Macaca fascicularis: one gene and its partner. The protein of the gene in region 2 binds, or shares a complex with, the protein of the main gene of each other region. Links are inferred from orthologs where the notes say so. Each region holds a gene or a part of one and is shown on either strand. Other genes may lie near its edges.

Evidence for each region. Proteins that work in one complex are often made in the same cells at the same time.
Region 1: TONSL (region 2) and MMS22L share a complex: the UniProt entries of both Homo sapiens proteins name them as parts of the MMS22L-TONSL complex. The link is inferred for Macaca fascicularis from reciprocal best matches to the Homo sapiens genes TONSL and MMS22L.

The regions. Positions count from the first base shown.
Region 1 is NC_088378.1:78,032,889-78,037,329, reverse strand, and holds the start of MMS22L (protein MMS22-like), read right to left. Parts: upstream 3,224-4,441; 5' UTR 3,101-3,223; intron 2,575-3,100; 5' UTR 2,499-2,574; coding exon 2,335-2,498; intron 1,414-2,334; coding exon 1,288-1,413; intron 1-1,287. UniProt on the Homo sapiens protein: Component of the MMS22L-TONSL complex, a complex that promotes homologous recombination-mediated repair of double-strand breaks (DSBs) at stalled or collapsed replication forks.
Region 2 is NC_088382.1:154,144,830-154,148,826, reverse strand, and holds part of TONSL (tonsoku-like protein), read left to right. Parts: intron 1-1,171; coding exon 1,172-1,244; intron 1,245-1,347; coding exon 1,348-1,511; intron 1,512-1,586; coding exon 1,587-1,710; intron 1,711-1,849; coding exon 1,850-2,610; intron 2,611-2,717; coding exon 2,718-2,794; intron 2,795-3,097; coding exon 3,098-3,251; intron 3,252-3,318; coding exon 3,319-3,397; intron 3,398-3,926; coding exon 3,927-3,997. UniProt on the Homo sapiens protein: Component of the MMS22L-TONSL complex, a complex that promotes homologous recombination-mediated repair of double-strand breaks (DSBs) at stalled or collapsed replication forks.

The DNA.
Region 1 (4,441 bases), on a different chromosome or scaffold from region 2:
ATCTTAATTCCTGATAGTAATTTCTTGCTATTCTTCCTAGTTGATTTCAAACTCTTTAAAAATTAACCCACATTTGTAACCTATGTCCTAAAGCCTCGCTCACTCAGCCTGTTCTCTCAATAAAATGTATGACATGGCATAGATACAGTTAAGTCTCTTCAAAAGATTTCATGGGATGATAGTGGGAGAATTCCTCCCACCTCTCCATTTTCCTTTAAATGTATCACAGAGATTTTTACTGTGTTTTGAAATAATTTGGTTTCAATAACTGACTCCTGTTTAAAATTACCTAAAATCTGAATATGAATTGTGTCTTAAGTGATAATGAAGAACTTTAATTTTTATTAATAGAGTTTTTTTTTTTTTTTTTTTTTGAGACGGAGTCTCGCTCTGTCGCTCAGGCTGGAGTGCAGTGGGCAATCTCGAATCACCGCAGGCTTCGCCTCCCAGGTTCCAACAATTCTCCTGCCTCAGCCTCCCGAGTAGCTGGGACTACAGGCGCGCATCACAACGCCCAGGTAATTTTTGTATTTTTAGTAGGGAAGGGGTTTCACCATGTTGGTCAGGCTGGTCTCAAACTCCCAACCTCGTGGTCTGCCCGCCTCGGCCTCCCAAAGTGCTGGGATTACAAGCATGAGCCACCGTGCCTAGCTGTCCTCATCGTTTTTAAAAAGCCCATATTTTTAAGAAATTCATACTCAAGTATTTATGGGTGAAATGACATGATACCTAGGATTTGCTTACAAGTCAGTCAAAAGAATCAAAAGAAGAGGAGACAAGACATATGAAGGAAATGTAATAAAAAGTTGTTGTTTACTGCAACTGAAGGAGGGTATATGGATGTTCATTATATTATTTTGTGTATGCTTAAATTTTTTCATTAAAAAAATTTTTAATGTTGTCCAAATAGAGAATTAATATTTCTATTACACAATCTAAACTATTTATTTGGAAAGATCATACTCTAAAGATCACTGAAACACTATGGCTATTGAACAACAAAAGTATTTTAATTTTCTTCCAAAATCATAGTTCAAAGCCTTAAATATTTGTCAATACATGAAGTCAAATGCAAAGAATAAAGATTCTGAAAATAAAACACAACTCATTAAAACCATTATTCATCAGGTGTTGCTGCTTGATTACCATTACTGGTAAGATAATCAAGTGAGCAACCTGCACAATTCTCCTGGTCTTTTGCAGTATCAGTATTAGAAGCCACCCAACAATGTAATTTACACAAGTGAACAACACCTACACTCACAGAAAGTTAAAACGAAGAAATACCTGAATAAATGAAAGAGCTCTCTAGATGAATTCACTAATGCTGTTTCAGTAACCCACTGAATGCCAAATATTTCTAAGGTGTCTTCTTCAAAATTAGTTGGTAAAGGATCAAGATTCAAAATCAATCTGAAATGAAAATTATGTTTTAATCCCATTAAAAAGTAAACTAAGTACCATACCTTTACATTATTTGAATCCATATTATACATGACATGTATAAAAAGTCAGAAAATGCCTTGGTACTTTACACATTCAAGATTACAATAGCTAGACTGTATTAAAATGTCAATCTTCTATATTGATAAAATGTACAACTAAAGTGTAATGTAAGTTAAGAGGAAAAATCAACACGGGTTCTAAAACACATATTTCTGCCTGTCTTCACCAGTAGTCTTCAGTTGTAGAATTTTATCCTCCGAGGGGACATTTAATTGTTGAAACTGCTAACAGTTACTCTGAGCCTTGTCTGGAGAACAGTATCCAATTAATGAAGTTGGGTATTCTATTTAAGGTCTCTCACAACGTACAACTATAAAGTCAACAAAAAGTTTCCTGACTGAAACTGCCTCAGCAGGTATTACCAAAATATTTCAAGAACAGCAGTTTTACTGTAATATGTATGTACCTGCCCGAAGCAAAATAGGTAGAATTAAAAGGAACGGGGCAATAAAAAAAATGTTTGTCTTTCTTAAAAATTACTGGAAAGCTCTAGAATATTATCACACCCTTTAGAAGGAAATACCATTTCAAAAGGCTCAGACAATTAGGAATTCACTTTAAGTAAAAGAAAAATTAGCGCCCAGCTCCCTACAGTAAGGGCACATCAGTTACCAAGGAAGTTTTCCCTAATACCCCAAATGCTTTAGATATGCCCTTACCAAGAAGCCAGCAGCAGAACTGATAATCATTTGTACCCTTATGATATACTAAGCTGATTTGTAAAACATGATTTGGTGAACACCCAAGTTAAATGGGCTGAAGTAACTAACATTCCTAAAAAACTGGCGAATAATCAGATGAGGGAAAATGTCTCTGAGCTTTACCTACCGCTTAAGGGCTCCGCTGCAAAGGTAGGATTCTCCAGAAAAATGTTTTCCTTCTCCTCTGTTGTCAACAGCACAAGAAAAGTAAGGAGGTTTGCACCATTCTGTGCCCAGCTCCAGCTCTAAACTGTCAGTCAGGAACGTCGATGCGGCAGAACAGTTTTCCATTGTTTACTTCATGTTCTGAAATGTTTGGGGTTCGTCGTATCATTAAGGGCTCCAAAGAGAAGGTGTGAAGAAATTCCTGTAGGTGGGGGCCGAGAGACTGGGGGTTACTTCAGAAAGTTCCCAGGACGTCCGCCAGCAGCAAGGAAAAACGAACAAACCCAGAAGCCAAATTCCCAATCCTCCCCTGCCGCTCCGCCCCTCAAGGCTGCCAGAACTTAAGACAAAATGCACAACCAACTGGCTGTGGCAGGGACTTCAAAATCAGCCCACTAGGTCGGACTGTGCAGCCCAGGACAAGGTGAAAAGCAAAGAAATGTCTGCAGAACAGAGCGTCCCGGGCTCGCCTAGAACTTCGCCCTCCGCAAGGTTTCTAAACCACTCTCCGCCCGTTTCCTAGCAGCAAGGTGGAGAACGCTCCCTCCCCGGCTCGGGGTGGAAACCAGGAAACCAGTCCCTAGAGCCAACCTCAACCCTTCAAGGAGGCGAGACCCACCAGGCCCATGCCCGGCAGCACCCGGGCGGAGAAGGCTGGGTGCCAGTATCCCGCGCACCCGGCTGCAACAAGGACCCGGTGCGTCGGTTACCCGAGGTGCCTGTCGTACCTGCTCACACTTCCAGCTCCCGAAATCTACCTCCTGTGACCCATACCACCACTAGGAATCTGTGGGGTCTAAACCGCAAACAAGCGAAATTCCCGCCACCGCGCGCCCGCGCTCCGGAAAGGCGGGGCCACGGCGCAGCCCTCCCCCGGCTACCAATCGCCTCGCGATATCTGCGCGGAAACAGTCGGAGCTCCACGAATTCTCGCGAGAGTCAGTCAACCCGGGACAAGGTACAGATAAACTTTTTTTTTTTTTTTTTTTTTGTACCTTTAATTGGTGCGTTCGACTGGAAGGAGGGGCCTGGTAAAAAAAAAAAAAAAAAAAACGGAACTGCTGCTGAGGCGGAGGAGAGGAGGATTTAAGGACTACGGGTTTATCCTCTGGCTAAAGGGAAGAGATTTACTCCAGTGAGTGCGAAGTGAGTGCCTGGTTCACACCTACAGTCGCGCCGTCCCCTCTTCCCGCTCTGGGGCCAGCAACTCTTGTTAGAATGCAGGATGCCTTTTGTCCACGGACTGTGAGGCAGGCAAGTGCAACAGTGAATTTTCTCTGTAACTGATGGAACAAGTAGACAGAAAGTTAGTATGGATATGGAAAACTTGGAAAGCCCTATTAACCGACTTGACCTAATTGACGTTTATAGGTGACCAACCCAACAATAGCAGAATACACACTCTTGGCAAGTGCACATGAAACATTCACTAAGCGAGACCACATTCCGAGCCATAAAACAAACGTCATCAACTTTAAAAGGACTTAAATCGTACAAAGTATATAGTCTGATCATAATGGCGTTAAACTAGAAATAAAAAAATAGATAACTGAAAAACTCTAATTTTGGAGATTAAGAATCATACTTGTGACTAACCTATGAATCAGGAAAAATCACAGGAAAATTAGAAAATACTTTCAATTAAAACGAAAACATTAAAATTTGTAATAGTACCTGGTTACATTAAAAAGAAGAAAGAACTCAACTCAATAAACTTTTGTCTTAAGTAACTAGAAAAAAATCACCAGCATATTGAAACCAAAACAAGCAAAATGAATGAAATAATAAATAGTTGAAATAAATGGAAGGAAATACATGCAACCAAAAGTTGTTTTTTAAAAAGAGCAATATAATTGATAAACCCTCTACCCAGACTGATAAAATAAACATATTATCAGTATCAGGAATTAAAAAGGTTTCATCACTATGAAATTTACTCATTAAAAGGACAAGGATATTAAAAGAACATTATGAACATTTTTATACCAATAAACATAGGTGAAATGGACAAATTCCTTAAAAGACAGAAACTCAAAACTCAAGAAGAAAATTTGAGTATCTCTGTATTT
Region 2 (3,997 bases):
AAATCTCTCTCTCAACCTCCTCATCTTCAAAATGGGGCTCCTTAGCATGGTGGCACTTGCCTGTGGTCCTAGAGGCAGAAGGATCACTTGCTCCTGGGAGATTGAGGCTGCAGTGAGTCGTGATTATGCCACTGCACTCCAGCCTGGGCAACAGAGTGAGACCCTGTTTCAAAAAAATTTAAAAAGCAGAGCCTGAGCAGAGTGGCTTATGCCTGTAATCCCAGCACTTTGGGATGGCAAGGCAGGCAGATCACATGAGCCCAGGAGTTCGAGACCAGCCTGGGCAACCTGGCAAGACCTTGTCTCTACAAGAAATTTTAAAATTAGCTGGATGTGGTGGCGTGTGCCTGTAGTCCCAGCTACTTGGGAGGCTGAGGCAGGAGAATCGCTTGAACCTAGGAGGTGGAGGTTGCAGTGAGATGAGATTGTGCCACTGCACTCCAGCCTGGGTGAACGAGACTCCGTCTCAAAAATAAAAAGCACAAAAAATGCGGTGCCCAGGCCGAGCGCAGTGGTTCATGCCTGTAATCCCAGCACTTTGGGAGGCCGAGGTAAGCAGATCACGAGGTCAGGAGCTCGAGACCAGCCAGGCCAACATAGTGAAACCCTGTCTATACTAAAAATACAAAAATTAGCTGAGTGTGGTGATGCACGCCTGTAGTCCCAGCTACTCAGGAGGGTGAGATGGGGGAATTGCTTGAACCCAGGAGGTTGCAGTGAGCCAAGACCACACCATTGCACTCCAGCCTGGGTAACAGAGTGAGACTCCCTCTCAAAAAAAAAAATGGGGTGCCCGCTGTGTGGTACGCATCTGTGTTGCAGCTAAGTTGGTCAGCCTGGCCAGGATGGGGGCTAGCCCCTGGGCTGAAACCTGGGCACCTTCCCACCCCACCTGCCTCATGCCCCTGCAATTTGGGTGCACCGTCTGCCCACAAGGGGACCGGGCAGGCACAGAGGTTGGAGGATATGCTGTGGCTGGTCCACCTGTCTCAGGGGGAAGCATGTCCTTCACTGGTGACACCTGGGCCAGAGGAAGAGAGGGCAGGGCCACGGGACTTGCTCTGGGCTCTAAGACTGAGGCCCTGGGCCCAGCTCAGGCTGCAGAGCTCATGGGACTGGGGCCAAGCTGTGACGTACACAGGGCCAGGCTCCTTCCTGTCCTTGGTCACAGGGCCACCCCCTGAACCCTCGGGACTACTGTGGCTGGACGCCTCTGCACGAGGCCTGCAACTACGGGCATCTAGGTGAGCAAGGGACAGGAGCCTGGCGCACCTCGGTGGACACGTGGGGCAAAGAGTCAGTCCTTGGGGGGCATCAGGAGCTGGGCTCACATCTCCTGGTCTGTAGAAATTGTCCGCTTCCTGCTGGATCACGGGGCCGCAGTGGACGACCCGGGTGGCCAGGGCTGCGAAGGCATCACCCCCCTGCATGATGCCCTCAACTGTGGCCACTTTGAGGTGGCTGAGCTGCTGCTTGAACGGGGGGCGTCCGTCACCCTCCGCACTCGAAAGGTGAGCCTGGTGGGGCAGAGGGCAAAGGTGAGGGTATGGGGGCTGCTGTGCTCCTGTTCAACTGATACCACACAGGGCCTCAGCCCGCTGGAGACGCTGCAGCAGTGGGTGAAGCTGTACCGCAGGGACCTGGACCTGGAGACACGGCAGAAGGCCAGGGCCATGGAAATGCTGCTCCAGGCAGCCGCCTCAGGCCAAGGCAAGCAGGGCCTCCCGCGTCCCTAGGGTTGCTATGCCTACCCTGAGAGTCCCCGGGCCCTGATTTCGGGAGATGCTCATTCACAGGTGGAATGGGAGGTGCCGGGCCCCTGCCTCAACACGGATTCTCTCTTCCACAGATCCCCACAGCTCCCAGGACTCCCTCACCATCCCAAGTAGCCTTCTGTTTGACCCTGAGACCTCTCCTCCTCTGAGCCCCTGCCCAAAACCCCCCTCTAATAGCACTAGACCCCCAGAGGCCTCTCAGGCCCGTGCCAGGGTCTCCCCAGGGCAGGCAGCACCAGCCGTGGCCAGGCCTCGGAGGAGCAGGCATGGGCCAGCCAGCAGCAGCAGTTCGGAAGGTGAGGACAGCACAGGCCCCCCGCGGCTGTCCCAGAAGAGGCCTCGGTGCTTGGCCACAGCACAACAGGTGGCAGCCCGGACGCCTGGCCCTGCCAGCAACAGGGAAGCAGCCGCAGCCAGCAACAGCCGGGCAGCCTACCAGGCAGCCATCCGGGGTGTGGGCAGTGCTCAGAGCCGGCTGGGGCCTCACCCACCGCGGGGCCAGAGCAAAGCCCTTGCCCCCCAGGCAGCGCTCATCCCGGAGGAGGAGTGCCTGGCTGGAGACTGGCTGGAGCTGGACACGCCCCTGACCCGCAGCCGCCGGCCCCGCCCCCAGGGCACTGGGGACAGCCGCAGGCCTAGTAGTACCTCCGGGTCGGACAGTGAGGAGAGCAGGCCCCGTGCCCGAGCCAAGCAGGTCCGCCTGACCTGCGTGCAGAGTTGCAGTGCACCGGTCAAGGCAGGGCCCAGCAGCCTGTCTTCAGAACCCCCAGGAAGCCCCAGCACCGCCAGGGTCTCAGAGCCCAGTGGGGACAGCTCTGCGGCAGGCCAGCCCTTGGTGGGTGTGCAGAGCTGGAGCAGAGCCCTCTCCTCACTTGGGGCAGGCAGGTGTGGGGTGGAGCCCACTGTGGCTCCTGACTCAGCCCTGCTGCCTTCACCTGCCAGGGTCTGGCCATGCCACCTCCCATCCGGGTTCGAGTTCAAGTTCAGGATCATCTTTTCCTTATCCCTGTCCCACACAGGTGAGACGTCGCCTGCCCTACCCTGCAGCCCACCTGTGCAGCTCCATGCCAGGGTGCTCATGTTTGCACATCAGGGTGGGGAGGGTGACGAGGACTCCCTGGTGTGTTCCTGGAGGACCCTGTGGCTCCCAGGAATGGCAGAGGGGCTGGTGGTGTGCTGGGCTGCAGGGAGAGGAGGGGCCGGCTACCTGGGAGTGGGAGAAGCGGCTGAGGGGGCTTTTGGCCCTGGGCAGGGATGGCGGGTTCCTGGGGCTTCACCCCAGCTGTGCGCAGGCAGCAGCAGCAGCGCCTCTGTCCCTGCAGCAGTGAGACCCACTCTGTGGCCTGGCTGGCCGAGCAGGCGGCCCAGCGCTACTACCAGACCTGTGGGCTGCTGCCCAGGCTCACCCTACGGAAAGAAGGGGCCCTGCTGGCCCCACAGGACCCCATCCCCGATGTGCTGCAGAGCAATGATGAGGTGAGCCGCGGGAGCCAGGGCCTTAGGCACCGGGAGCCCCCAGGTGACTCATGACGGTGCCTTCCAGGTGTTGGCTGAGGTAACTTCGTGGGACCTGCCTCCGTTGACCGACCGCTACCGCAGGGCCTGCCAGAGCCTGGGGCAAGGTGAGAGCCAGGAGAGCTGCAGTTTCTGGGTGAGGCCGTGCAAGGGGATTGGGCACACAGGCTCCACCAGCCCAGTTCGTTCCTGGACCTCGGGTGTTTCGGGGTACACCTCCCCCAGCCTGGTGGGTGCTGTGTCCTGCGCTTGGAAGTATGGATGGCAGGGAGAGGACAGCCCTCAGCCCCCATGAGCTGCTGATGGGGAGATGGTAAAAAGCAGCCAAAAGCCTGGAAAGTCAAGCCCAAGGAGGAGAGCCTCACGTGGGCTGGGAGCTGCTGGAGAAGCTTCCCAGAAAGCTTGTCCCAGGGGGCGTGGAATCTGGCGCTGACTGGTGGAGCTTAGGGTGCTGCAGACCCACATCGGCCCCCACGGCCTCACAGTGCTAGACCCACAGGCATGTGCGAGTGGGCGCTGCAGCATGTCCAGTGGGTGACCCCTGGGGCTGTTGAAAAGGGGCTGCCTGGTTTGTCTGGGATTCAGAGGGCAGAAAGGGCCGGCTTTGCCCTGGTGACACCACATCCTTCCCCACAGGGGAGCACCAACAGGTGCTGCAAGCCGTGGAGCTCCAGGGCTCGGGCCTCTCATTCAGCGCCTGCTCCCTG